Linked DNA regions of Mytilus edulis. The protein of the gene in region 2 binds, or shares a complex with, the protein of the main gene of each other region. Links are inferred from orthologs where the notes say so. Each region holds a gene or a part of one and is shown on either strand. Other genes may lie near its edges.

The links.
Region 1: jouberin-like (region 2) and meckelin-like share a complex: the UniProt entries of both Homo sapiens proteins name them as parts of the tectonic-like complex. The link is inferred for Mytilus edulis from reciprocal best matches to the Homo sapiens genes AHI1 and TMEM67.
Region 3: jouberin-like (region 2) and transmembrane protein 237-like share a complex: the UniProt entries of both Homo sapiens proteins name them as parts of the tectonic-like complex. The link is inferred for Mytilus edulis from reciprocal best matches to the Homo sapiens genes AHI1 and TMEM237.
Region 4: jouberin-like (region 2) and B9 domain-containing protein 1-like share a complex: the UniProt entries of both Homo sapiens proteins name them as parts of the tectonic-like complex. The link is inferred for Mytilus edulis from reciprocal best matches to the Homo sapiens genes AHI1 and B9D1.

Annotation. Positions count from the first base shown.
Region 1 is NC_092348.1:16,559,127-16,566,372, forward strand, and holds the start of meckelin-like, read left to right. Parts: upstream 1-4,222; 5' UTR 4,223-4,428; coding exon 4,429-4,624; intron 4,625-7,246. UniProt on the Homo sapiens protein: Required for ciliary structure and function. Part of the tectonic-like complex which is required for tissue-specific ciliogenesis and may regulate ciliary membrane composition.
Region 2 is NC_092344.1:20,716,299-20,723,618, reverse strand, and holds the start of jouberin-like, read left to right. Parts: upstream 1-4,315; 5' UTR 4,316-4,394; coding exon 4,395-4,407; intron 4,408-7,320. UniProt on the Homo sapiens protein: Involved in vesicle trafficking and required for ciliogenesis, formation of primary non-motile cilium, and recruitment of RAB8A to the basal body of primary cilium.
Region 3 is NC_092350.1:20,110,234-20,118,074, forward strand, and holds the start of transmembrane protein 237-like, read left to right. Parts: upstream 1-4,815; 5' UTR 4,816-4,888; coding exon 4,889-5,179; intron 5,180-7,429; coding exon 7,430-7,700; intron 7,701-7,841. Other genes in the region: low molecular weight phosphotyrosine protein phosphatase-like, read right to left, coding at 4,756-4,792. UniProt on the Homo sapiens protein: Component of the transition zone in primary cilia. Required for ciliogenesis.
Region 4 is NC_092352.1:63,763,114-63,770,504, reverse strand, and holds the start of B9 domain-containing protein 1-like, read right to left. Parts: upstream 3,014-7,391; 5' UTR 2,914-3,013; coding exon 2,857-2,913; intron 1-2,856. UniProt on the Homo sapiens protein: Component of the tectonic-like complex, a complex localized at the transition zone of primary cilia and acting as a barrier that prevents diffusion of transmembrane proteins between the cilia and plasma membranes.

The DNA.
Region 1 (7,246 bases), on a different chromosome or scaffold from region 2:
ATTTTTCACAGCAGTGGGAGTATTTTCCCTGTAAATTTCAAGGTTTCAATAAATTTTCATCAAAAAATTTCACTGTTGAAATTAGTAGGGGTTATTAAAATTCTATATAAGTTTTTTATTGCATCCTTGGAAATCTGATTTAAATACATATCTGTTTTAAAATCCTTTTTAAGGGTTAATCATGATACATAGTTGTGGAGGCAGAAATTTCATTGTTTGACATAAATTCCTAGAACAAAAGGTGCAAAATATAGAACTGAATGGAGCAGAGATGAGTGCTTGATAGTGTTCATTATATCGTTAATTCATTGTAATATTTTGTATTGATTGCCTTGCATTCTCTGAGGACTGTAGCTGTTTCCATTATAGATTGGTAGGTTCTGAGATCTGTTATCATGATGATAGGGATTTCAACTTTCTTATTTAAGGAAAACTACAAGGCATTAATGATTTATTGGTAAAGATCCAAGTTTTTCTGTACCCAGTTTTCAATCCATTACCATGGCATTTGTGCAATATCCAGGGTGACATGGTTCACCTTATTTCATGGATTTTCTTGCATTGTTTTAGTCTTTTAAACACTATATTATACATTTGAGAACGATTCAGGTAAGTGAGGATGTACTTTGGTTATGGCAATATTAATGTATTCATTGATGTTTTAATGAAGGTTAATTACTTTCTGGTAGTATGACTTGTCAAAGCAATGCTTGCATTGTGACAAAGTTAACAAAATGCTCCCATTAATCTGTGCAAATAAATGTTTTCCACTCAAATAATTTGAGAATCATTAACATTTGTTCTTGGTTGTATTTTTTTTTGGAAGAAACAATGTTGAAAGATCTACTTTAAACTTAAATCATGCTTTTTACTAATGTTCATTCAACATCAAGGATTATCTAGGATTTTCCTTACATACCCTGGTCCGTGTTTTACCATTGTCTACATTGTCATGATTGTCAAGTCAACATTTTGAGAGTCGTGGTGTAGTGCATCAGACTACTGACAGGTTCCTGGATCGATTCCCGTTCGGGATGAAAATTTCAGGGACTGAATTTTCGGCTCTCCTTTGACACCATTTGCAAGTATGGTCTTGAGGAAATGATGATAGTCCGTCAGAAGGGGACAATAAATGGCTGACCCGTGTTAAGAGAGAGCCATATCTCTTGCACGTTAAAGACACCCTTGTAGATTTCTAAGAAGAGCAGACTAATGCAGCTACAAGGCAGCACTTGCACCCGCAAAGTGGAAAGGGATTAATATAAGTTGCAAAACTTGTTTCCCAATCCACTATAAATAAATATGTTTAAACTAAGTCAACATTTGGTATAAGTAAATGTGATTTCGAAAAATGCAAGTAAAGTTTTTTTTGAAAATATTATTTAGCATGAATAAAGATTCTAAGGGCAAGGTAGGTATAAGCATGTACAAATGTTTATGTTGTATTTCCCATACTTTGATTGATGAATTGTCAATTAAAAACTTTAGTCAGTACATTGAGTTTGTATCATATAAATTCAAGTTTAATATCGTTTTTATGTCTGACAATCATCATTGTTTATTTGATGCCCAACTGATTATCATGATTACCTTAAGCTTACGTTGCAGTATTTACATGTATATAATTAGTCTTAAGGGATTAAAATTGAGGTAAGACATAAATAGACCAGCTGGCAGAAATATTTCTTAAGAGCCGTTGATGACAGTCACAGTGCAATGTTTACTTGTCATTTCTATGTTCTCAATGTGTTCCAAATTGAAGTTTGTCATAAGTTGTTCAATTAAGGGTTATCAATCATATTTAATTAATTTTTTTGAGAATCAGTTAACATTACCTTCTTTTAACATTGATTTAGGGTTCTTACATTACATTATTTCCAAAATTTCTATGAAAGATTTATAGTTAGTTAAGGTCACGGCATGCTTACAATCTGTGAGGGGGGATAGGACCTTAATCAGGACTCCTGGATCGGGTGTTTTTAAGCTTGGCATTTCGGGATTGACCCTTTTGGGATTTGGGAAATCTTTTTTTCGATTTTCGGGACTTCAGGATTTCGCATTTTTAAGCCTGGGATTTCAGGATTTCATGTTTTTAAGCCCAGGATTTCGGGATCAGGACCCCTCCTACCTCTTCTCATCTGTTGATGAAATTAAGAGTACTGGAAGACCATTATTCTATAGCAATTATTATTATAGTATTATACAATATGTATGAAGTTCTTGATAAAACAAAACCATTTTCTTTGTAAAAAAAGTCTATTTTACAATGTCCAAAAGTTTTGCAATAAAACTTAGCCATTAAACTACTTAAAACAAGATATTCACAATTTTTGTTAATGGACATGATAGGCAAGCTCAAGTTTCACTTTAGGCCAAATATGGCCTTAAATTTATAAAATTTCAAAATGACCAGAATTGGCTGTCAGGATTCTACTTTGTCAATTTAATTTTGTCTGACTTCTTTTAAAAAAAAAAATCAATATGGGTCCCATTTAGCTGTTTGGGTATGGGTGATCACTGCAGAAGTGAGCGGCATTATTTTGTAAATAAATTTGTAGAGTGCTTTGATTCTTAAGATTGTGTAACATGCAACACAAACAAATTTTGTTTTGAATGCAAAATTAGATATGTTGCTGTAGTTGGATTACTTTGTCTATGAAAACTTATCTTGTAATGATTCACCATGTTTAAATCCCATTTTGTTTCAGTGTGTAATCCTGTTCCCTGGTATATTAATTTTTAATACTCTTACATTTATAACTTTGACCAAGATGAACAAAACTATCATAGGAGAAAAACAGACTTACATGTTATTAATAAAATCTTAAAAATAGTACCATGATTTTAATCATGTTAAAATAATAGTAGGGTGAAAGAATACAGTACTCTATGGACTGAAAAACCAAGGGCAAATAAACTCTGGGTGAACATGTTTTTAGGGTTAACAGACGGGCTACCAACTGGTTTAGTGGCAAAAATTCTTGAAAGCTCACGAGGCCACATGTAGACAGTTTTTAATTCTTTTTTATTGAGCCTTATATATTTTCACTTCTATAAACCAAGATGTACAAAAATACCAAGTTTGGTAAACAGTAGCAGTACCATAAACATGATAAATGCTTTTTTTTGTACTCTGACACATAAATTATTTTACGTATTTTTTTATATTCTGTAACTTTGTGTTCAACGTGTCTAAATGTCCTATTATATTATTTATGTTTGCATTTCTCTGTCCTTGTTCTTGCATTTATTTGTACTGTTTTCCTGTCATGTAATGTTGTCATTTTAGGGGTATATTTACATTGCCTTGAACATGTGTAAGTATAAAGTTTGGCTAGCCACAAGACCAATTTCAACCTACATTTTTTTCTTATAATTAATGTCCTTTACCAAGTCAGGAATATGGCAGTTGTTATCGAATAGTTTGTTTATTCGTAAATATTGCATTGTCGTTTGTTTTTTGTTGCACTTCAGTGTTTCTGTTGTTTTCCTCTTATACAATGTAGTTGATGTGTTTCCCTCGGTTTTAGTTTGTAACCCCAGATTCGTGTGTCTCATTCGATTTATGACTTTAGTTTTAAACAGCAGTATACTTCGATTCTGTTGCCTTTGTTTTAAATTATGGACAAATCATATAATTATCAATTATACTTCATGTCAACACCTGTAAATAAGTAATTTTCACGTTTGAAACGGAATATACAGCAAAATCTCTTTACATAAAATGTTATTTGAATTGAACTCTTTTATAACATGGCCGAAACGACCAAGGCCGACATGGAACCATCAACCATGGACGAAACTTTTCCAATACATCATTACATTGGCATTGCATGCAATTTTTCCACAGAACTTACATATATAAAGGGAATTTTAACCGCATGTGAACGTTTGTACCCTAACATATTGAGACCAATCGTGCCCACTTAAACATGCCATTACAGTACTTTTTACGGTAAAGCTGTGTCGATAAATCAGAAAACCACGCGTACTTGCATGGAAAACATGGTCTGCAAATAACATTGTATAGGAAATATTAGCGGCTAAAATGAATTTTTAGTGTACCTAATGTATTGTTTAACAGATTGGTCATGTAGTTATTGCAAGCAAGTCACTGGTTACGTGAAAACGATCTTTTTCTCCATGTAGCATTTTGCTGTTTTACTGTAAAAATGGCGACCAAATGATAAAAAGTAACCGGAAGTCACCGAAACGGGATAAATATTAGTGAATTGAAAATTACATTTGAAATGGCAAAAATAACCAGATGTGATTTATTACATTCACCAATTTCAAAGAAAAGTTTTTTGAATTTTTAAAAATTTCATAACTATATCAATAAAGGCTTGAATAGTTTGAATACATTTTTATGTGATAAAAAGCGTTCTGACGATCTTGACTACTCGACAACAACAGCTCACAACAATCATGGAAGACAAGTGCGCGAAGTTGATCTTACTATTGAACATTTTTGTTGTTGTTCGTTGTCAGTCTCAATATAAAGCTTTTGAAAACATAACTGATTGTAAAGAAACTGGGCTGTTCTTTCAATACTACCAAACATCATCATTGAAATGTTTAACGTGTCCAGAAAATAGTACTTCTATGACTGTTAGTTCTGATGGTAAGATCATGCCCAAACAAGACATGTTCATCATAACAAATGCTGAAATGGCTCTATTTACACCTTAAAACAAACTTTGAGTACAAACTAACCTGTTCAAACGGAAAAGTTTTAAGGACTGACATCCAATAAATTCTGTTATCCGAACATACGGGCATTTTTAAAATCAGTTTTCTCCCTTTCTTAGTAACGCCGATTTCCGTTGATAAGGCGGTGAAACATTGTTAGTATGGTTATCGTGTTAATAAAATTTCATCGTGAATTAATGTGTATTTTTTTTCGTGTACTTGTTGTGATGTAGGTTTGTTAAAATCGTAACTTGAAAAGCTGAAATAATTAATATGAGGCAGGCATTACCTGTAAATGGGGACGAAGTCAGTATAAATTATTTTTTTGTAACTTAAATATTTGTTAAAATAAAAAGAAACGGAAATACCGTAACGTTTCCGATTTTGGTTCTGTTGTTAGGGATTTTAGTTGTGACGTTATTTAAATTATGACGTCATATGCAATGTAAACAACGAAACGCTATCATCAGGTAACGTTTTTTTCATATCAAGGAATTATTAAAAATGAAATTGGTACTGCGCGTTCCTTCCTATTTTATACTAGACTGATAAATATATATTTTACTCAAAGTTTCATACAAACGAGACCGGAAAAAGGAAGTACATTGTACATTTCTGCGCATGTCCGGGATTTCAAAACATGACATAAAAAAAATTGAACGATTTTGAGTTCATTAGTACAATGAAAAATTCGGGAAATTTTCCCGAATTTTTTTTTTTATTGAATTTTCTACTGTTATTGGGGACTTCGTCCCCATATTAATCTTTACACTTAATATGCAGCTAGCCTACAAATTTCCGCTTTAAAAGTCAATTCTTTCACTCTCTTGTGTATATAATTAATTCATAATCTGCAGAAAAATTAATTAAAACCATTCTTATTATTTCATTCATTTTTCTTTCTTTCTACTGTAGTAGAAACGGAGACGACTTACTGAGTGAGAATACAATATCACATCTTTGCAATCTTTGCCTTGTTTAATTTTCCTTAATCAAGGTCATGTGCAAATTAAGTTAGGTAATAAAAATGTCGACATCAAAGAAACGTTGAGAAAGGTAAATATTAACTTGGTCATCTGGCCATGGTTGATTTTTGGTATCCAGCCGGGTTATTAGGTACGTGTGAAGTTAAGGATGACAGCGGTAATTAAGAATACTAGAATTTCTTCTAAACTTTAACAACAAAATGTTGATGTTATGATGTTAATTCAGAAACGCGAACGAAGACATTACTTATTAAAGGTGTATGAATATTCATTGATTGAGATGATAAACATTTGAAGACATTAAAAAAAAAACGCACTTTAAAACATTAACCCACAGAAAAACTTATTTTTGAATATAATTTGGTTACTGTCGAAAGGAATACACATAACACTCAGCCGGAGAAAGAAGATAATTTTTCTCATGGGTTGGTGATTTTTTAGGCAGTTAAGCTGCCTTATGCGAGCACCCTGGATTTGTGTTCTACCCAATAAATGCTGAAATACGTGCCATTGTTATCATCTAGCTGGCTACTATGTTATTTATAACTTATTGGACAGTTTTTTCATACTTTTCATTCTGGATTACAAAAAATATGACCAGAAAAACCTTAAATGATCGTCGATTTTCCCAAAAGTTTTGAAGTTGCACATAGAAAGTAGAGCACATTAGGAATCCTTATGTAGTTTATTATCCCCTGAGCTTTTGGCTATGATGTCAAAGAACAAATGTATGAAATATTTAATCGCCGTAAATCTCTAAAGACAAGTGGTTAAGATTTCCCAAATTGCAAAAGTCGTAGGAATATTGTTTGTCGTCAATACGTAGTCAACTACATCAGTAGTCTATTAATATAAGTCCAACTGATCACGCTGTTGGCGGCAATTTTGAATTAGAAGACGAAATGTTCGTATCTTTTCAATTTGGACGCAGGGGTTCAAATAAGCGGTTGTCCGAGGTCTGCGACATTCCACTTTTGCAGTCGGACTTTCTACTTGGTTACTAGCTACGCCCGACATGCCCGACGGACCTTGAAAGAAAATAAAAATAACTTTGCAAACGTTTTTACCAAAGTTTCGATCTAATAAACGATCACAAACTTATTTTAATCATTACTATTTATGACAGCGATGTTCAATTTGTTCAACTGCTAGCTTTATACAGAAAATCGCCGACATATAATGTGTAAATCCGAGTAAAATCGTATCTCACTATCTGTCAAAAACAACAAAATGGCTGCCGCGAGAAGACAATTATAATATCGGATCCGATTCCGGAAACGGATAAGGGTAATCCCGGGTTTTGGCTATTAACTAAAAAAAATTCAGACAGGTGACAAAATACATCTTTGCATGGTAAAGAAATATAAACACTAGAATTGAAAACCAAAACATATATGTAAAAGAAAGAAAAAGCAGAAAATAGTTTGTACACCAATTTTAATGTCAAAATCCAATACAATGTGACAGCTGGGAACAGTTTATCTGACAATATATATGTTCCTGGTAACAGTATAAATTTTCTTTATCAGTGATAAATGTTGGTAATGCATGTTAGATGCTTTTAAAGT
Region 2 (7,320 bases):
AAACTAAAAACTGAGCAACACGAACCCCATCAAAAGCTGGGTTCTCCGAAAGGTAAGCAGATCCTGCTCAACACGTGGCACCCGTCGTGTTGCTAATGTCAGGACAAATATGGTAATGCGTCTTAATTCGGTAAGACACATTTGGGGAACATGTGAAGAAAGTAATATTGTTATGACGACAAATGGAACATATCCGTCGTAAATTTCTGAAACATATATTTTATAATGGTCAACTAACCCGAAATGACGTCCGTACAATATTTGAAGGCAAGACTTTAAATTCAACACTTGGAACACTTGGTTCAATAGCTTCCTTGTGAGCAGCAAATCTCTGAAACATATATTTTATAATGGTCAACTAACTTGAAATGGCGTCCGTACATTATTTGAAGGTAAGACTTTAAATTCGACACTTGGAACACTTGTTTCAATAGCTTCCTTGTGAGCAGCAACCCTCTATCAATGAAACCATGGTCGGAAACACAAGCCCTGAAATATTGTATCAATTGAAATATATATGCTCGGTATGCAGGCGCTGCTGGAATGTTGTTACATAGAAATTGGGAAGCTGAAATCATCTCTTCTGTCGTACAGTTTTGTTTTCAACCGAGTCTCGTCAATTCCTAGATGTTAGTCAAGATGTGAAGCAGAATTTACTGTATCTGTTGTATATTTTATCTCAAGTTCCATGGGGGGCGGTAGATGCGTTCAACACAGTTACCAAAATTTGAATTTTTATTAAGTGAGAGAACATGATCTGTATATATATAGCGGAAAGTTAAGTAAAAGGATACTGTTTTTCTTTCTTCCAAGGAAATTCCTGCATAAAACCAGCCTCATGAATAAAGGAACAAGTCGACAATAACGAGAGCACCGTTGGTTCCGATGGAAATGTGGATTCTTTGTTGAAAAACATGTCCTCCGAAGGTAACAAAGATGTTGTCTATCAAGAAATCAAGCATCTTGACAATATCAGTAATTGATTTTTTTTGTTTGAATAAGAGTGGTGTTTTACAAGGTACGATTCATCCGAGAATTTATCCCTCCTTCAGACAAGATACGTGGATCTACTTAAGCCATTCTTTTTCGTGAGATAAAAACATGACAAACTGTTTCAATTTGTCTTTAAGTTTAATCAAGCATCTTGACAATATCAGTAATTGATTTTTTTTGTTTGAATAAGAGTGGTGTTTTACAAGGTATGATTTATCCGAGGATTTATCCCTCCTTCAGACAAGATGCGTGGATCTACTTAAGCCATTCTTTTTTGTGAGATAAAAACATGACAAACTGTTTCAATTTGTCTTTAAGTTTAATCAAGCATCTTGACAATATCAGTAATTGATTTTTTGTTTGAATAAGAGTGGTGTTTTACAAGGTACGATTCATCCGAGAATTTATCCCTCCTTCAGACAAGATACGTGGATCTACTTAAGCCATTCTTTTTTATGAGATAAAAGCATGACAAACTGTTTGAATTTGTCTTTTAGTTTGGAATGGGGAATACTTGTGTAAAGTAAAGAAAAAGTCAAATGTTTTATTACTAAATTGTAAGATGCATGAGTCCTAGACTGTATGAGCTATAAGATATCTTTGGAATGTTTTAGTGATCCACACCAACACTAGAATATGAACTTTCACAATAACTTTGAAGTCCGGCTTTGATTGTTGATAAAAATTTATGTAAAGAATTTAGAAAGAGGTTTTGTGGAGCACTTGGAAGACCCAGCATTACAATGTTATTTCAGTTTCTTTTTTAACATTAAAATATGTTAGAATGAAGAAAAAAATGATACGGACTTCGTTCCCTTTCACATGTAACGCCTGCGTCGTATTATATATTATCTTAAAACTACTGAATAATTAATATTCAAGAGCCCTAAGATTTGCGCAACGGTACTATAAATATAAGATGGTATTAAACGGAGACGATTTAAAAATAGTTTAGTGACAACCATCTTCATCTTATTATCGTTCCAGAAACTTAATACTATTAGACCAATATTTGTTTTCCTTAATGTGCGCAGTATCGCCGATTCTACTCGATTCGGTGCTGATTAAATTTGCTGGTTGGTCCTTTTTAAAGACTTTTCAGTTACGTGCCATATATTAATTGTAATTGTATGTGTATTGAAGAAACAACAAAAGAACTGCCAATGTTTACCAGCACTGGAAACATGATCTCATTTATCTTTAAATTCATTTTCTAATATTACAAATTTATTTTTTAATATTAAGAAATCGTGGGTTTTTTTTTTCTTTTTTTCATGTTAGAAATTAATTTCTAAATATGAGAAATTCATTTCCGAAAATAAGAAATCATTTCCGAAAATTATAAATTCATTTCTTCATATGTATTAGAAATTCATTCTCTAATATTAGAAAATGAATTTTTAATATTAGAAAATGAATTTTTAATATTAGAAATTCATTTCTTAATGTTAGAAATTCAATCTCTAATATTAGAAAATGCATTTTCAATATTAGATAAAATAATTCTTAATAATAAAAAAATGATTTTTTAATAGCAAAACATATCTTTTTTTGTCAACGTTGCCATACTGATCGATTCATTTCGTATATGAGACGATATCTGCAAAAGTATATTTCCATGTTCCATCTTTTACCAGCAATTATTTTTTTATTAGTTTAAACATATTTATTTATAGTGGATTGGGAAACAAGTTTTATGCAACTTATATTTATCCCTTTCCACTTCAGTTGCGGGTGCGAGTGCTGCCTTGTAGCGACATTAGCCTGCTCTTTTTCGAAATCTACAAGAGTGTCTTTCACCATGTTCACGTGCAAGAGATATGGCTCTCTCTTAACATGGATCAGCAATTTATCGTCCCCTTCCGACGGACTATCATCGTTTCCTCAAGACCATACTCGCAAATAGTGACAAGGGATAGCCGAAAATTCAATCCCTGAAATTTTCATCCCGCAACGGGAATCGAACCAGGAACCTTTGTGTTAGTAGTCCGATGCACTATAACCACTACACCACGGCTCTCTATTTTTGTATTCAACCAGATTTTTTTTTAATTTTAAGTTTCAGTATTAACTAGAGTATATAATGCACCAACTATTGCCAATTAAATACTCTTTCTTATATTTCTTCCAATAAAATATTATAATTTGAATATTCAACCCCCAAAAATTCTTGTTGTCCGGTGGTGTTATCTGACAACTAAATCATTCAAAGAATATCCAAATTAAGTAAACAGGCTTCCGATTTTCACAAATATGATAGATCATATAGAAAACTTGTCCCTTACTGGTCTGATTTTGTTATAACTGAAGCATGTGATAAAATTTTGCATTTTTAAGGGTCTTTTAAATTTTGTCTCAAGGGGTAATTTCCCTCCTGTTACCACAAGTTTTTTTCACCTGTGGAACCGTTTGAAAGACCAAAATTCGATGTCTTGTAATGTAATGCGAATAGCATCATTTCCTGAATGTTTGACTCCATATGTATAGGTGACTGGCAGCCAGTTTGAAAAATCCTAACTCCCCAAAGAAAAGAATTTAGGAAGAATAATTTTGTTGTTCTCTTCTGTTAAAGTCTTTTTGTGTACCTTCTGAGAATATTTCATTGTCAGCACCATATAACAGTAAATGTGTTTTTATAGTATCTTATTAAATTGATATGTAGATGGAGTAAAATTCAACACAATTCATATAAAAGGACAAAAACTTGAGTACTGTGTAATTCCTTTCTGTTACGTTCTGTCATGATATACTAGTATACCACAAATAGAATCTTTAACTTATTCTTTATTCCCATTAGGCAGCAACCATTTGATTTTCGGGGGGGAAGGGGGGCTATGGATTCAGTTTGTCCAGACAAACTTTTTTGACAAAAAGCAATCTACTTTTTTGGCCGACAAGTCGAAAACTGTTTGAATTACAGACAACAGTTCCTAGATCCTCAATTTGTGTTCTTCGATTTGTGCTATTTAAACTATGTTAAAGTACCGGTTTTAAAGACATTTTTTTTCCTATTGCCAAACTGAAATAAGACATTTTCATATATTGTCTCATATAGACTTAGTTTGATTTTTATTCGTCGGAAAACTCTTATAACTTCTGACATCAATGTAGCAATAAAGATGAGACCATCAATGTTAGTCATGCTCGGAAACGGTATTTAATAATGATATTTGTATTAATTTGTTGCCCCCCCCCCTTTTTTCCACCCCGTCATAATCACTGTTAAAAAAAAGTGTGGTTTATGTCTTACTGGACAATTTAAAAAGAGTTCAATGTTAATTTTATAATGATAAAAAGTGATCAGCAGAATTAGATATAATTTATAAAAGTGATGTTGGTCATTGATAATATTTCAACCAATCGAATGAGGCGTTATATCTGGTTGCCAAACGTAAACAAAAATGGCGGATGAAGGTAAAGTTTTGAAAATTTACACATGTTTTAATAGCATTTATCACAAGTCTGATATTATTCACAATTTTACGCACTGTCTAGTGCAACAATAATAAACAGGATATACACAATTCTTGTAATAATTGTAATTTTGTGTAAGAAACAACAAAATAAATGTCAATGTTTACCACAAAAACATGATCTGACCTGAATTTTTCAATTTTTAGGTTGCAATCTTTATATTCACTCATTTCGTATAGATTGAGTTTGATTTTTATTCGTTGGAAAACCTTTTGACTCTTATTAATTCTGACATAATAAATTTTATGTATCGATAAAGATGAGACTATTCATGTATAATAGTTTGACAGTTTTCTTGTAAAAAAGGGTTGTGCTATTTAAAATCTTTAATCATGTTAATTGAGAAACGTACGGTAATTGAAACTGAACGAAAAGTTGGCAAAATCAAATGAACTGGATATTTAAAATGTAGTTTACTTTCCTCTAAAACCTTGCTAAAGTAAATAGAACAAAGTTTATATATTAGATAATAGATCATACCCGTCGAGTAAAAGCCAATATTGGAGGTGGGTACAAGTCAAATCGGCACCCATAGAAAAAGTCAAATCGACACCTGGTTAAATCGGCATCTAGTCAAATCAGCACCTATTTAAAATCAATTCGACATCCAATAATATTTGATATAATATATGGTACTGGGACTATTATGCTAAGTTAGTAATTCAAGTATACTAGCATAATAGTCCCAGATATATATAAATAATTCTAAAAATGTTTCGCATATTTCTGTTAATATTTTCACAACTATATGATACAATCTAATAGTGAGAATTAATACAAAAACATTACCACAAAAAGACTTTTTATGGATATATGGTATCAGGAGAAAATAAAAAATAATAAAATTCGAATTTAAACCATTCAGGTATCCTCATTTCCATTGTGAGGACAAGGAGAATAGCACAAAATGTTAGGTTGAAGTATATACATTTGAATTTAAAACATTGAACTAGAACATTTTTAAAGATAAACTTGTATCACCTGGTGTAAGAAAATGTGTGTCAAAAAACTTATAACTTGTACAAAAAAAACCTGTAGTACAAACTTACATCTTGTACACAACATACAATGTAAATATTAAACAAATTTAACATGGGTGCCGAATTGACTACATCAAGTGCCGATTTAACCAGGTGCCAATTTGACTAAGTGCCGATTTGACCAAGTGCCGATTTAACCAGGTGCCAATTTGACTAGAATTCCTTCGACGTAACAATACAGATACAGATACATTTGTCATATAACATATCTAATACATTGTTGTAAGTCTGAAAGCAGGGAATACCTGAATCCCACATTTCCTGACTTGTGCCCAACCTGTTCAAAGACAAAGTAGATAGATTTTAAAGCACGATTCAGACCATTTTTACTTAAAGTCTTTAAGATTTTATCCTTCAAACAGGAACACTGTCAGAGGTTAGACACAAAACATCTTTCAACCCACTGAGTGCATCTTGATTTGCTTTGTGTCTAACGCTACTTGTATGATTGAAAGGTGTATATTGTAGTCAAAATTTATTACTTTGGTTGGCAATAAGTTGAACTTATTATAACATATAAATAAATACAACAATAGTATACCACTGTTCAAAAGTCAATAATTAATTAAGCTAAAACAAAACCAGGGAAATACAAATGTACATTAACTATATGACTACATTTATAAGACATTCTAAGAAGAAACCAACCGGAACAACAGAAAACTGAACTGCAACAAAAACGAACGCAAACATGAAAACAATTAATAATAAATGCCATTTTCCTGGTACAGGACATTTTAAGAAAACATGGTGGTATGAACCTGGTTTAATGGCTAGCCGAACCTCTCTCTTACATTGTATATGGCAATGTTAAAAATATTGCTAAAATTACAACATTTCATGCAAGCATTACAAATAAACAAAAGATAGAGAAATACACAAATAAATAATATAATACTACACAACAACATATAAACCACAGAATAACAAAGGACACCTCCGATGAATCAGAGTTCTCGTTAAGACGCGTATACAAGTCATTTTTGAAACTGTGAGTCCCAGGAATGCATCCTGATTGTATCCCCTGAGTCCCAAAAACATTGTTTTGCCTATAAGATTTATGATTGTCGACATTGTTTTGACAAGAAACTTAATGGAGTCGATGTTGAAATTATTTGTTTTAAATGTGGCCCTACACCAAGAATTGATAGACCAAGAAAGAAGTCTGTTATATATTTTGTAATGAACAATTACTATTAAGAGATCATAATTTTTATAAATATCTAATAAAAACTACAATTTAACATGCATTGTTTTAGTTTTATTTCGTCATATTTCATTATATTAAGACGCAAAAAATAATATTACATGCATCCTGGACTCACCATGAAAAATTCCTAGTGAGAACCCTGATTATTTATTTTTTTATCAAATTTTCACCACATTATTTGCAGTGAGAAATTTTCTGATTTTTAGTGCCAACTCCTTTAATTTCCACACAATATTACAAGTTCATGTAAAAAAATATTCTTTTCTATTCATGTACAAAATGTATATATGACTAATGTATTTATAACCAATATGTTATATGTTATACATACATGTACATGTATAAAGCAGATTTGTATTATTATTATACTTTTAATTCCTGTTATTACTTTTAATTTCAATGACAGCTGCAGCAATTGAACAGTCCATCAATTCAATAGAGAAAGAATGTATATTATAAACCTACAAAGTAATTGAAAAGTGAAAGTGGCAAAATATTGTTCTATCAAGTTCAATGTATTTATATACTATTTTTATATTTTCATTGCCCATTGTACATCTGTTGCTGTTAGTATTTTTTGTCATGTTTGTAGTACATTTTATT
Region 3 (7,841 bases), on a different chromosome or scaffold from region 2:
ATTGCACAATATTTTGCAATTAGATATTTCTTGCTTACTATTCTGGACAAAGAAAGATAACTCTAATTAAAAAAAAATTTGATATTTCACAATATTGTGCAATTAGATATTTCTTGCCATTGCGCAATACTGTGCAATTGAAAAGACTTGCTATTACACAATACTTAATATAATAATTTTAGATCCTGATTTGGACCAACTTGAAAACTGGGCCCATAATAAAAAATCTAAGTACATTTTTGGATTCAGCATATCAAAGAACTTCAAGATTTCAATTTTTGTTAAAATCAGACTAAGTTTAATTTTGGACCCTTTGGACTTTAGTGTAGACCAATTTGAAAACAGGACCAAAAATGAAGAATCTACATACACAGTTAGATTTGGAATATCAAAGAACCCCATTTATTCAATTTTTGATGAAATCAAACAAAGTTTAATTTTGGACCCCGATTTGGACCAACTTGAAAACTGGGCCAATAATCAAGAATCTAAGTACATTTTTAGATTCAGCATATCAAAGAACCTAACTGATTCATTTTTTGTCAAAATCAAACTAAGTTTAATTTTGGACCCTTTGGACCTTAATGTAGACCAATTTGAAAACGGGACCAAAAGTTAAGAATCTACATACACAGTCATGACAGTTAGATTCAGCATATCAAAGAACCCCAATTATTCAATTTTGATGAAATCAAACAAAAGTTTAATTTTGGACCCTTTGGGCCCCTTATTATGTTGGGACCAAAACTCCCAAAATCAAACCCAACCTTTCTTTTATGGTCATAAACCTTGTGTTTAAATTTCATAGATTTCTATTTACTTATACTAACGTTATGGTGCGAAAACCAAGAAAAATGCTTATTTGGGTCCCTTTTTGGCCCCTAATTCCTAAACTGTTGGGACCTAAACTTCCAAAATCAATACCAACCTTCCTTTTGTAGTCATTAACATTGTGTTTAAATTTCATTGATTTCTATTTACTTAAACTAATGTTATTGTGCGAAAACCAAGAATAATGCTTATTTGGGCCCTTTTTTGGCCCCTAATTCCTAAACTGTTGAGACCAAAACTCCCAAAATCAATCCCAACCATTCTTTTGTGGTCATAAACCTTGTGTCAAAATTTCATAGATTTCTATTAACTTAAACTAAAGTTATAGTGCGAAAACCAAGAAAATGCTTATTTGGGCCCTTTTTGGCCCCTAATTCCTAAAATGTTGGGACCAAAACTCCCAAAATCAATACCAACCTTCCTTTTGTGGTCATAAACCTTGTGTTAAAATTTCATAGATTTCCATTCACTTTTACTAAAGTTAGAGTGCGAAAACTAAAAGTATTCGGACGCCGGACGACGACGACGACGACGACGACGACGACGACGACGACGACGACGACGACGACGACGACGACGACGACGCAGACGCCAACGTGATAGCAATATACGACGAAAATTTTTTCAAAATTTGCGGTCGTATAAAAATCATGGGAAAAAGATCGCGAATGGTTGAATTATATAGTAGATCGGAATTTAATGAACTGTACAACATGTGAAAAAAAGACCAGTAGATTTGGAGCCGGACCAGTAGAGTTTTTAGTCCACTGGTCCGGCTGGCCAGTACACAAAAAAGCTTAAATTCGACCCCTGTGTATAACCCATATCTCCTTTTATTTATATTCATTTGCATGAGTCATTTTTACACTGAAATGATAAAATTATGTTAAAATGAAAAGATTACCAGTATGTTTAAAAAGGGATGTGAAGCTTACAACAAATTAGATTCAATGAAACAGCAAGAAATCAAAACAATCACACATTCAATTAATATAGTCAATGTAACCTTCAGTCTCTATATGAGGGGGTTGGAGGGGTCCTGGTCCCGAAATCCTGAGCTTAAAAACATAAATTCCAGAGGTCCTGAATTTAAAGAAATTTAAATCCTGACATCCCAAAATTTGAAAAAGGAATTACAAGATCCTGAAAGGATCAATCATGAAATTCCAAGGTTAAAAACAGCTGATCCTGGAGTCCCAATAAAGGTTTGATCCCCCCTCCTATATGAAATATGCTTAATTTTTTTTCTATTAGTTTCTTTATCATTGATATTTCCACAAATCTACTTTTTCAGTCTGTTACAGTTCAGTCAAACTTTACTGTTAAAAGGAATTAATTCCTTAAAATTAACATGATTAATGCTTTCAATATAAACATCTTTTTTTATTGTTTTAAAATCTTTGAATCAGAGTCAGACAGCATATTAAACAAAATGTATATATAAATTTTGTATTTAAAAGTACAGCAATGTTGTATGGTTCCACAAAGGATTGAGCTAATGATACTATCTAAATAATAAATTGTTTTCAATATGCATGATGAGGTTGGCGGTTATATAAACCAAAAAAAAAATTTCTAAGATATTCTCAAATTATATTAGTCATTACCATTATTTTTTATATCTTTTTATATATCAGGAAAACAGTTCTAAGTGATTTAATTTCAAATATATTCACTTGGCTTTTCATTAAATATTAAGATTACAATCCCAAGCATCAATTGATTTTAGAGAATGAAACCGTCAATTCATAATAATTATTTTTTGTGGTATTTATTTTACATGTATGATACTTTATTTCATAAGAGAATCAATTGTTGTTTTGTCCAACATTTATTTGTTCATCAACATGACCAACTAGTTGGATACTAGTTTTAAAGGAAGTATTTTAGCTTTTCAATAGGCGACAGACAACAGTTGCATGCAATCATATGTGTTTTCATCTTACAGATCACCATGTTCATTTTCATGATTATAAAAATGTGTTGTAAAAAATGTTTTTAACAATTGGGTGTGAATAAATCTGCTAAGTACATACATTTTTGTACATGGTGCTGCATGTTCTTTTTTTATTGAAAAATTACATTCAGAGAGTTCTTTGTATTATAAATCAAAATTTAAGATTGCAACAAAATTTTGGAAAAGTGTAATATTAAGAACACCCCTTTCAATATTATTTTATTGTACATAAAACTGCACTTTTATAAATATAATTGGTCAAAAGCTCCAGGTTAGAGCTTGTAATGTATATTTTACTTATGCTGAATCAAAACAATTTTTTCTAATCTTATCATTTCAGTTTTAGTTTATGATTGCTTTGTAAAAAATTTCCCACTAAATTTACAACATAGCAGATTTTCTTTCATCACTGTAAAAATTTTCTTTTCTTTATATAGGGTAGCAAGCAATTAATTTTAGCTTTCATTTTGGATGTGAAAAAACTAGAATCAAAATATATGTGGTCACCGAATGAGGGTCCTGGCAGTTTATTATGAAACTGGTAATCTATGGTGATTGGAATCCATGAAAAATCGCCCCACTGGCAATTGCCCCACACCTAATCGCCCCACTATTTGAACAATCGCACTTTTGTTTACCAAATTGCCACAGGCACTTGTCTAAGAAAAAAACCACTATATATATATTAAGGTATATAGGAAAATTAAATTCTGAGACAAGTGCCTGTGCAACTTGCCCCACCTATGAAAAAGGGTAAACTCCCATTGAAAATAGGTTGGATAACTTGCTCCCTTTTATGAAATGGGTAAAAAAAGCCTCTGAAATAAGGCATGCCACCTCGCCCCACTTGTGAAAAATAGATAAATACTGATGAATTTAGTAATGCCAACTCGCCCCACTTGATGCAAAAGGTGCATTCCCATTGTATATATATCTATTTTCCTCTCCCACTTAAGTAAATAAAATCAATACCTATGAAAACCTTAGATAACATTTTTCTCCCGTCTGAATGGTTTTACACTAGTCATTTTGGGGGCCCTTTATTAGCTTACTGTTCGGTGTTAGGGTAGTAATGAGGGTACCTTCATGACAAATAACCGTACTTATTCTTGCCAAATGGCGTTAGAGAAAATTTTTGGTGTATGACGATTAAATGTACTTTCTTTGAGTCGATAAAAATAGTAACTAATTTAGACGAATCACGTTAATTTTTTTCCAAAAATGACGGTAACAATAATTATTTGAGACCGCTGACGAATCACAATAAAGATCTTTGACAAATCATCAAAATTTTTTTAACCAATTTGACGCTTATGGTAGCCGAAAATGACTGTTTGATGCCTGTTGATAAAGGGCATTACTACTTTCATGTTGAAGACGCTTAACTTTGACCTACAATGGTTTTTCTTTTACAAATGGTGTCTTGGATGGAGACTGAGTTGTCTCATTGACAGTCATACCACATCTTCTTATATCTTTTTGGTGGTTCTTTTCTTTTTGTTGAAAAAAAAATTAAGAAGTGAGTATCAGAATTTCTGTGACGTGAATGCTAATTAACTAGCACCACTTGTTAAAATAGAAAAATCTTGATGAATTGAGTCTTGCAAACTTGCCCCACTTATGGAAAATAGAAAAGTCCTGATGAATTGAGTCATGCCACTTCATAGTTTTTGAGTGGGGCAAGTTGGCAGACCTGCAAATTATATATTCATCTAGATTTGACCTTTTCATTAAGTGGGGCGAGTTTGCAGGAGAAAAAATAATGCAATTTAACCCTTTTCAGTTTGAGGCGATTTTTTTAAAAGTGGGGCGAGTTAGTGAAAAAGTGGGGCGATTTGGTGTGGGGCGATTTGTCCTTACGGTGATTGGATGTTTCATTAAATCGTGAAAGCTTTTTACCCTTTAAAAAGATGGAAATAAGTTATTACGGGCTAACAAATTGTCTAAGTTAGAAGGAGTTAGATTACCAAGGCAAATAAACAAAACTGAATGCTTTTTAGACATTTTCCTGCAACTTTTTAGGAAGACTGCTGGTGGATTCCGAAACGAAGAGAATTATCCGAAAGTTACCGGAAGTTGTTTTGTTTATTGGATACAAAAATGGCCGACAATGAAAATCCTCCGAAGAAAAAGAAATTGCCACCAGTTACACAGGCATCAGAAGAAACTGATGTCCAGAAAAGACCAGTAAGAAAAAAGAAAAAGAAACCAACCGAAGCAACAGAAAATGGCGAAACCGGATCAACAGCCACTACTCCTAAAAAGAAGAAAGCACCTGTTGCAACAGAAGATGGAGACAAACCAACTCCAAGGAAAAGGAAGAAACGCAAACCACCAGAACAGGCTGAAGATGGACAACCTACATCAGCAAGAAGTGCTGCTAGTCAAGAGGTTATTGTCATAAAGATCTGCTTTCATTCTAATACGAAATATACAAGATACATGTAAAGACATTTAAAAAAATGATGTGTTTGGACTTGACCAGAAAAGGCCTAGGATAACCATTAAATAACATCTGAATAAGGAATAGGTTTATAAGATGAGTAACTTTTAGGGAATACTTTAGGATAAATTAATTTTTCCATTATTTCTAATCATCTGTTTCTGAAATCAATTATATTTTCCTTCGTTTATATAAAAAAAAAACATGACTGAAGTAGTGGTGTAATTGGAATCTGGGTCCGTTCACCCTGATTCATGTTCGCCCTAGTATCTGTTCGCCCTGATACCTGTTCGTCAAGGGTCCATTCACCCAATTTTTATTTTTTTCTATTTGTTGTCTAGTTGCATTATTTAAGTATTTGAACAAAATATGTTAAAGTTTGTTGAAAAATTGACAGAATATTTATATTGCCGTAATCAATTGTTTTTATTAATTTCAAGCTGAATATTTTATCAAAATAACACGTTTGTTTTTATTATTAATCCATCAAAAGACAAGTATCACAATAACCAGTGATCCGAATTATTTTTTCTTTAAACAATTAATGATCCTAAACAAGCAATAAACTCTGCAATGTTTCCATAAATATCAAGAATATACATGATATATATACATTGTACATGTACCATAGAAATATCTCAATAAATTTATTCAACTTCAATTCATATTGATATTTTTATAGTAGGACGAACAGACACTATGGGCGAACGAACTCAGAGGGAACGACCCTAGGGCGAACATGTCATTAGGGCGAACGGTCCCGATACCGTGTAATTGGCAGTATTCAAACAACTTGCATAGTTCTGGATGTCATTTCATCCAATACACTTTCACACCCTGCAAGTTTGCACCTCACATGTTTGCCCCCTGGGTCTGTTAGCACCCTACACCATAGTACACATTCAGGCCCAATTTTTATTCAAATTCCAGATCAATTATTAGATATTTATTTATATGTAATTGTATTAAGCAAATAAATTATATTTTCCTAAATAAAAATTGAGGAATTATTACAGTTTTTGTACATGGTTTTATTTTTTTTATTAATTTGATGATAATTGGTATTTATACACAGCTAAATTTGGTATTATTGTCTTGTGTCAGAAAATCGTGATGGTGGTTTTAATTATTATACTTTGGTGTAAATAACCAAAATATGATTAAGATTTATTCAATACAAAACTTTGTCAGAATGGTACTTTATTTTGAAACATTTCAATGTCATTGAAAAAAAATACTTATAGCAATACACAACCAAAACATGATAAATATTTATTTAACAAACCATAAAAAGACAGAATCTAACTTTATTTTTGAAATAGTGATATGTTCACTAACCAAAACATGATATAGATTTATATAGAACTCTATTACAAAATTATTAAACACAAAACCTCTTATTTTTACTATAAAAATCATTGACAAAACAAATAAAAAGGGTGGGAACGAACTTTGGGAGCGAACATATAGGGAGCGAAAATTAAAGGAGTGGAACCAGAATGGGCGCGAATGTACCTGGATTCGATCTCATTTACATGGCAACCCCAGTACTGGATAAGGCAGTACATTGTAGTTTCACAAGAAACAGAACGAACTCTGAGTCTCAATATAATTTTATAAACTGTTACTAAGTTATCAGATATAAACAAATTTTGGAGAAATGGTTCATATTACTACACGGCAGCCTCAAACAACATAGTTAATGCGCTAGTATAATAATAATAAAAATGCTGAAAAAATACCATTAAATAAAAAATTGGGATTCACTTGTATATTGATTTCAGTATGGATGGCTGTTTAATGTCCAGTAACGAATTTATATGCATATATTCATAATTCATGATGAGAATATGATAAAGTGATATGAAGATAGACCATACCTTGTACTCTGACAGGCTTTAAAGCAATATTTTTAACATGCTACTTGTAGCTTACAAGGTAATAGTCTGCAAGACTATATATCACCTTACCAGGTACCCAACACATATTTCTGACTTTGAACTGACCCATTTTTGCTCTTACTCCTACATGTACATGTAAAAGCTACATTATCGAAGAAGCAGCAAATAATAATTTTCAAGATTACATTACTGTTATGATAATTAATTTGAACTTAATTCTTAAGTGAAGAAACTTTCAAACTGAAATAGTAATAACAGGTTCATTTGTACTTATGATAATAATTGATTTATTTCCAGGAAGTTGGTGGTAGTAAAACAAGCCTAATATCTAAAGATGATAAAAAGACAACACCAAAAAAAAAAGTGAAGAAAAAGGTGAAGAAAGCCTCACCTAGAGTTGGAGATGAGTTTATGGATGCAGCATTTGCTGCAGACTTGTCAACCATACAAGAAGATATTGTAACACCAGACGGCAAGAAAGACGAAGATGTTATACCTCATCCCTACTCTACAGAATCTATTGTACTCAAAAGTCAGCCATTAGATAATCTATTTATAGAAACTAATTGTAAGTAAAAAAAAATGTACATATAAACCTGCTAAAAGGCAGGTGTTATTTTTCTCATTCACTTCATTTAAATCTGTTATACAGGTCTGACTTAAAACAGTCTATCATTCTATATATATATACAACTTGTCTAAACATCAA
Region 4 (7,391 bases), on a different chromosome or scaffold from region 2:
TTTCAGACGAATTGTGCACATTCTGCTACAAGCATGAAATTTGGCATAGACCTTCCTCAACTATTACTCTTTTATTTCAGATAGGGAGGCATTTGAAAAAAATTGTCTCACTTCTGGTAAAATCCAAAATGGCAGACTTCATACTTAAATCAGCCCAATCTCTTGCACGTTAAAGACACCCTTGTAGATTTCGAAAAAGAGCAGGCTAATGCCGCTACAAGGCAGCACTCGCACCCGCAAAGTGGAAAGGGATTAATATAAGTTGCAAAACTTGTTTCCCAATCCACTATAAATAAATATGTTTAAACTAAATCAGCCCAATATCAAAGGCTAGTATTTGAAAAGGTGTTATTATCATGCTACAATCATAATATTACAAATCTTTGTTTTGTACTACTTTTTGGATATATTATATTGTTTAGATGTCTGCAAAAATCCTACTTCCAGTAAATTCCAACATGGCGGACATTGTACTAAAATAAGCTTATTTTTTAGGGAGGGTAATTGAAATGTGTTTAAACGTATTGCTACTATCATTACATTATGCAGGAACCTTTCTTTGGTGCTTCTAATGGATACAATGTATAAAAAATCTGTCTTTAAAACCCCCTACTTCCAGTAATATTCAAAATGGCGGACATAGAAATATCAATTCATTATTTAAATATTCAACTCCCTAAAAAATAAGCTTATTTAAGTACAATGTCCGCCATATTAGATATTACCGTAAGTAGGGTTTTTCAAGACATCTAATCTATATAATGTATCTAAAAGTAGTAAAAAACAAAGGTTTGTACCAAATATTATGATAGTAGCATGATTAAAACACCTTTTCACATACTAGCCTTCGATATTGGGCTGATTTAAGTATGAAGTCCGCCATTTTAGATTTTACCAGAAGTGCGATATTTTTTTCAATTGCCTCTCTATCTGAAATAAAAGAGTAATAGATGAGGAAGGTCTATGCCAAATTTCATGCTTGTAGCAGGATGTGCACAATTTTTCACCAAGCCGTCGTACTTATATAGGTTTATATTTATACTATAATACATGTGTAGGTATGTCTATAGCTACTCAGTGAAAAATTACAGTTTATTTATTGAATACTTATTGGCTTTACTGAGAGATACAATGAACTTGAGTACTAGCTCTGATAGATATCTAGGCAATCAATCAATGGAATATATTATATTCATTCTTTTGATGTGTTTGAACTTTTGATATTGCCATCTGATTAGAATCCAGGTCCATTCGCCCTAGTACATGTACCTGTTCGCCCTGATACCCTTTTGCCCTGATACCTGTTCGCACAGGGTTCATTCGCACTGATTTTTATGTTTTTCTAATTGTTGTCTAGTCACATAATTTAAAGTATTTGAACAAAATATGTTGAAGTTTGTTGAAAAATTGACAGAATATTTGTATTGCCGCAATCAATTTATCATTTTCCCTTTGATTTGCAGAGTAGAATACTGGAATACAATGTATTTATCTTTATTGATATTTGTTAACAAAATAATTGTATTCAGTCAACATGGTCAATCATGAATGTATACAGCATAACTGAGACTAGTCTCAGAGTATAAATAAAAGAACTTGTAAATCTGTTTCATCATTTACAATGTTACAGCTCGTACATTCATGACATTATGGCTTAAAATTATTAATTACAAGCTGAATATTTTATCAAAACAAAACGTTTGTTTTTATTATTAATCCATCAAAAGACAAGTATCACAATAATCAGTGATCTGAATTATTTTGTCATTGAACAATTAATGATCCTAAACAAGCCATAAACTTTTAAATATTTCCATGTTTCCATAAATTTCAAGAAAATATATACCATAGAAATATTTGAATAAAAGTTTATTCAACTTCAATGCCCTGAATATTAATATTTTTTTAGTAGGGTGAACAGACTCCAGTGGCGGATCCAGAACTTTTCCTAAGGGGGGCCCGCTGACTGACCTAAGGGGGGTATGCCCCAGTCATGCTTCAATGATTCCCTATATAATCAACCAAATTTTTCGCATGAAAAAGGGGGGGGGGGCAGGATCCGCCTATGGACTCTATGGGCGAACGAACTCAGAGTGAACAGACCCAAGGCTAACATGTTAAATTATTATTAAACTATTTTTGCTGGCACTCTGGCATGGCAGTAAAATCAAAGATATGAAACTTTGAAAGAACTAAAATAACTTGTAAATAATAACCAATAGAAGCAGAATTGTTACAGATTTATTTGTTTATTTGGTTATATTTTTTTTGAGGATCATTTTCATTTTTTCACAAGATAAACACAAATATTTTTTTGTTCAGAAATTCGCTATATTCAACCAAATTAAATTACAAAAAAATATTGTTTGTGTTCACATCGAGAGAAAACAAAAACACCTGAACGCTGAAGATAAAAGTATAACCAAATAAACAAACATTCTTTAGACAATATTCTACGTCTTTTAAGGCCTTGTTGATCAAAATCCAATCATAAACAGGTTATTCCTATAACCACCAATTGGTGGATTATACGTCAATTGAGGTATAATCCACCAATTGGTGGTTATTCCTGACCTGATAAATGCCCTATAAATATTTTTTTTTAAATGTGTTTTCTTTTAAATATATAGCAAACAAAATGCCTGTGACAAATACTTTTGGTCAGGTACTGTACAGATTATCGGTTTTAATACAAATGTATGCTTCAATTAAACCACAGATTTCTCCTATAATGTTTTGTTTGATATGCTGACTTTTTCTTAACATGAACAGGCTTGTTTTGAGAATTTGTTTTATTTTTTTCAGGTTTTATGGAAAGTGTTTAGAAGATTATAATGGTTTTCTTCCAAATTTTACCTCTCCGGACTCAATTTGTCCACCAACCATTACAAGAAATACTGAATTTGCTGTCATTTTTGTTTTGTTTGTGTAGTCTCAGTTTGTGCAGATCACTTCTATGTTGACAGACAAAATAATACTGTACGATACTACAAAAGGTATTCCGAGCGGGTATCAAGGTATTCCGAGCGGTTGATATCCGGCATTCTCGGCCCATTAAAAACTCGGACTATTACAAAATCGAGCTTTAAACAAAATCGGCCAACTGGAAGAAATTAGAATATACATCTAGTATGATAAAAGTTGTATAACTAATACAATATTATTTTGATATCATGTTTACATTTCAACCCAGGGTTTTTCTTTTTGCCATAAGGTGTCTTTCCTAATCTAATTTATAAACTGATAATTCTTGCATGTAAAATATAATTTATTTTGAACATTTTTAAAATGTTCAAAATAAATTATTCAATTATTCTAACTAGAGTTTAGATATTGAATGACAACAACTTTAATAACACTTTAATAACACAGGTCCTCGGGGGGGCCACTTGCTATATAATTAGTGGTAGGGATGAGCCGCTGGAATAGGTCACTTTTTCATGCTCTACGATATATGAAAAGGGTGAGAAATTCAGATGAAATATATCAATAGGTTGATATTATCACTTGCTTGATTATATCATAAGTATCTGAAACTAATCAGATGTCCGTATTTATTTTTGATGCGGTTAAACCACAGTCGTAAATGCATCAGTTATTTGTCAAACCAATTAAAATCTATTTATTCTGATGTGGTATTTCCACTGATGCCAGTGATAGATGCAATAAATCCAACTATTTTGACATTTGCACCTAATTAACATTCAAGGGTTTGTATACATAAAACATGATAACAATTATTTAAATAAATTCCATTGTGACAGCGTCCTTTAAGAGGGAAAGGCAATGAAACTTTTTATCAGTTTTAAATTAATATTTTAGCATGTTAAAATCAGTGAAGGTGTTACACTCTGCATGCTCTGGGGTGATATTACATTTATCTGACCACAGATGTAATACCATCTATGATCTGACCAAACGTCTTTTATATGTATTGTAATTTGGAATTGAAATATCTTTATAATGAAAGATGTAAAACGGCAATAAGAAAAAAGTGTTTAAGATGTGACGAATTTTTTGGAAAAGAAGGTGATATTATTGCGACTATTTACAAGATGATGAGCGGGGAAAATATTGGAAAATATTGAAATATATCTATAGGTCTGTTTTTTGTTAATTAATATATATGACAAGGTATATATTTTTGATTAACAAAATATATGAAAAGGGTGGGGTACTTGATGTCTCAGCTGCTCACCCCTACCAAAAAAAGTTTGAAGTGGCCCCCCCGAGCACAGGTCCTAAACAAGAACACCAGAAACGACACAGCCCTAGACCTTTTGTGTATGACCAATCCATCATTTGTTAATAGAATCGAAACATTACCACCAATCGGAGCAAGTGATCATGACATTGTTTACATAGAAATAAACTTAACTCTGCCGCAAAATAAGCAACAGGCTCATAAAGTACTACACTACAAATTAAAAGGCAAATTGGGAGCAAATAGAAAAAGATCTCACTGAAACATACAAACAACTAAAACAAGATCAAGATAATTAATTAAAATCTCGATGAACTTTGGAACCACTCGGTATGGAACACGTTAAAAAAAAAAACATCCAAAAATCTATTACCAAGCATATTCTAACAAAAAGCATTGGTAACAAATCAAAACTACCTTGGCCGGTAAATAACCAACTTAAAAAGCTCATTTAAAAGAAAAAGAAACTATATAAAAAGAAAAAGAAAAATCACAACTTATAAAAAAAAAACAATACCAAAAAATTAAAACCAAGCTCCAGAAAGAAATGAGAAACTCATACTGGCAATACATAGAAAATATGATTTTCGATATTGAAATAAAGGAGCCATATCAACCATGCTTCAAAAATACACCTTAAAAACTGTACTCTTACATCAAAAGCCAGAAATACGAAAACAGTTTCAGTCTGCATTTACATCTGAAGCAAACACTAAGTAACATTCCAGACAAAAGTCCTAGTAAATACCCCATAATGATACCCATTAAAATATCTAGGGATGGTGTTTACATAGACAATAATAGTGCATTGACTTGACATATCAATGATATAAGGATGAGGCTTAGAAACGGGGAAATGCGAGGCTCTGCCGAGCATTTTCCCCGTTTTGGGCCGAATCCTTATATATCGTTGATATGTCAAGTCAATGCACCATTATTGTCTTTATACTGCAATCTAAAAAAAACATTTTCAATTGTTGTTTATTGTGTTAATGTTATTTATTTGATTTAAATATTGGGAAAAATCCCCCTTTAAAAAGGCCTCATATCACACAGATGGAGAAATATAAAAACACGATGAAATGTACATCGATCATTACCGCAATCAATGATGAACGAATTCGTTGCAGACTAAAATATCATCAATAAACATAAAACATAATGATTTATAGGTTCCAAACAAAAAAATATTAATAAGTGAAATATGTTTTCCCAAAAATTGCAAAAGAAACAAGTTTGATTCGTTAAACGCATCGTTGTTTACATTGGAAACAAGAACAGGTTGAAGAGGTCGTATGAATAATTAAATACAATTTCGACAATTTCTATTTTTAAATATTCATGAGGAAAAGTGATATCAGGTCAGTGACCGTATATGGCATAGAAATATACAGTCAACGCATTTTGACTGCTCAAATAGAACGAGTGCAGTATAAAATTAAAACTAATTAAAAACATAAACCCGACTAAAGCTACCGGTCCTGATACCATCGCAGTCAAAGTACTTAAACAAAACATCGGAATATGTAGATATCCTCACTTTAATATTTACAAGATCAGATTCACTACAAACAGGCAAAGTACCATCTGACTGGAACCATGAAACTGTCACACCCATGCCAAGAAATTGACACCGTTGAAATTCTGCAAATATCCCATAGAGCAAATTACATGGATGATTAATATTGACCATTTGGTATATGGCCGTGTTCTTAGCGAGTACATAAAGGTCATAAATTAATTTGTTGAATGAAATTAAATCTGTATCTACTAATGGGTGCCGTAGGAGGTCCACCGAAATTTTTAGCTAGGATTTCTTGGCATGGATAACACAATAATATGAACCCCTTGCAGAAAGAAAGAAAGAAAGAAAGAAACACACATTAATCAATCAATCATGTTTCTTAGGTAAAAAAAGGGGGGGGAGACCGTTTACAATTGTTTTTTTTTTTTAAAGCAATTGATTTATATTGTAAAACGGCATACATGTATTAAAACTTCACAAAACAACATGTTGCAGCTACCTCGATCCCCGGCAAGAATTTCCGTAGAGAAAACTGAGAAATTGCAATGCCGTAAAAATCGCTTGTTGGTCCGTTAATCTCAATGAAATCCTACAATAAAATGTCTGCTCCTGTATTATAATAAAATCTGTGTTACAAGCTGCTTTTGAGAAATGTATATTGTAAGAAAATAATCAATAATCGTGTTTTAAAGTTACACAGGATAAATTAAATCCAAAGCATGCACTGCTCGTGAACTGTGATCGAAACGTCAATTTCCTACAATGACAAAAGAAATACATCGTGTGTATTCCCTCGTTATATACATGTTGTCGGTCTCCACCTAACAGATGTAAACAGAAAGAAATAAACTAAATTTTCACTATTATAAAGCCTCTTCACGTGACGCCACAACCTAGCGCGCGGGACCTAAAATAAATTAAAAACTTTCCTAACTAAATGTAAAACTTAACAGTGTATTTAAAAAAAGGGATAAATATTATACAACCCAAGCAACTATAGGCCTATATCCTTAACATGCATAGTTTGCAAATTACTCGAACATATCTTTGCAAGCAGCATTTGGATGAATCATCTAAAAACAAACAACACTCTGTATGAATTACAACATGGATCCGATTTAGGGCAAAACGATCATGTGAGACCCAAGTTATCTCACTGATTCATGAACTATTCCAAAACAATGACAAGAACATACAAACAGATCTCATAATCATGGATGTTGCTAAAGCTTTCGACAAGGTACCACTGACAAAAGATTACTATACAAAATGAAATACTTTAGAATATTAGATCAAATCATTAACTGGGTTGAATACTTTCTTTCAAACAGAACCCAAACAGTACTTTTAGAAAACATGTCATCTTCAAAAATACCTCATCAGGTGTCCCACAGGGTACAGTGCTAGGACCAATACTTTTCTTAATAAACATAAATGACCTCCCAGATTACATCCAACATAGCAAAATCAGACTCTTCGCAGATGACAATATAATCTATTGACAAATTAAAACTTTAAAAAACTGTCTTAAGCTGCAGGAAGACCTAGAAGCAGCCATACAATGGGGAAAAGATTGGCTTATTACTAACAATGACCACTGCCCTTTTCTCGATCTTGATATCTATATCACTAATGGAAAGCTGAATACTAAAATTTATGATA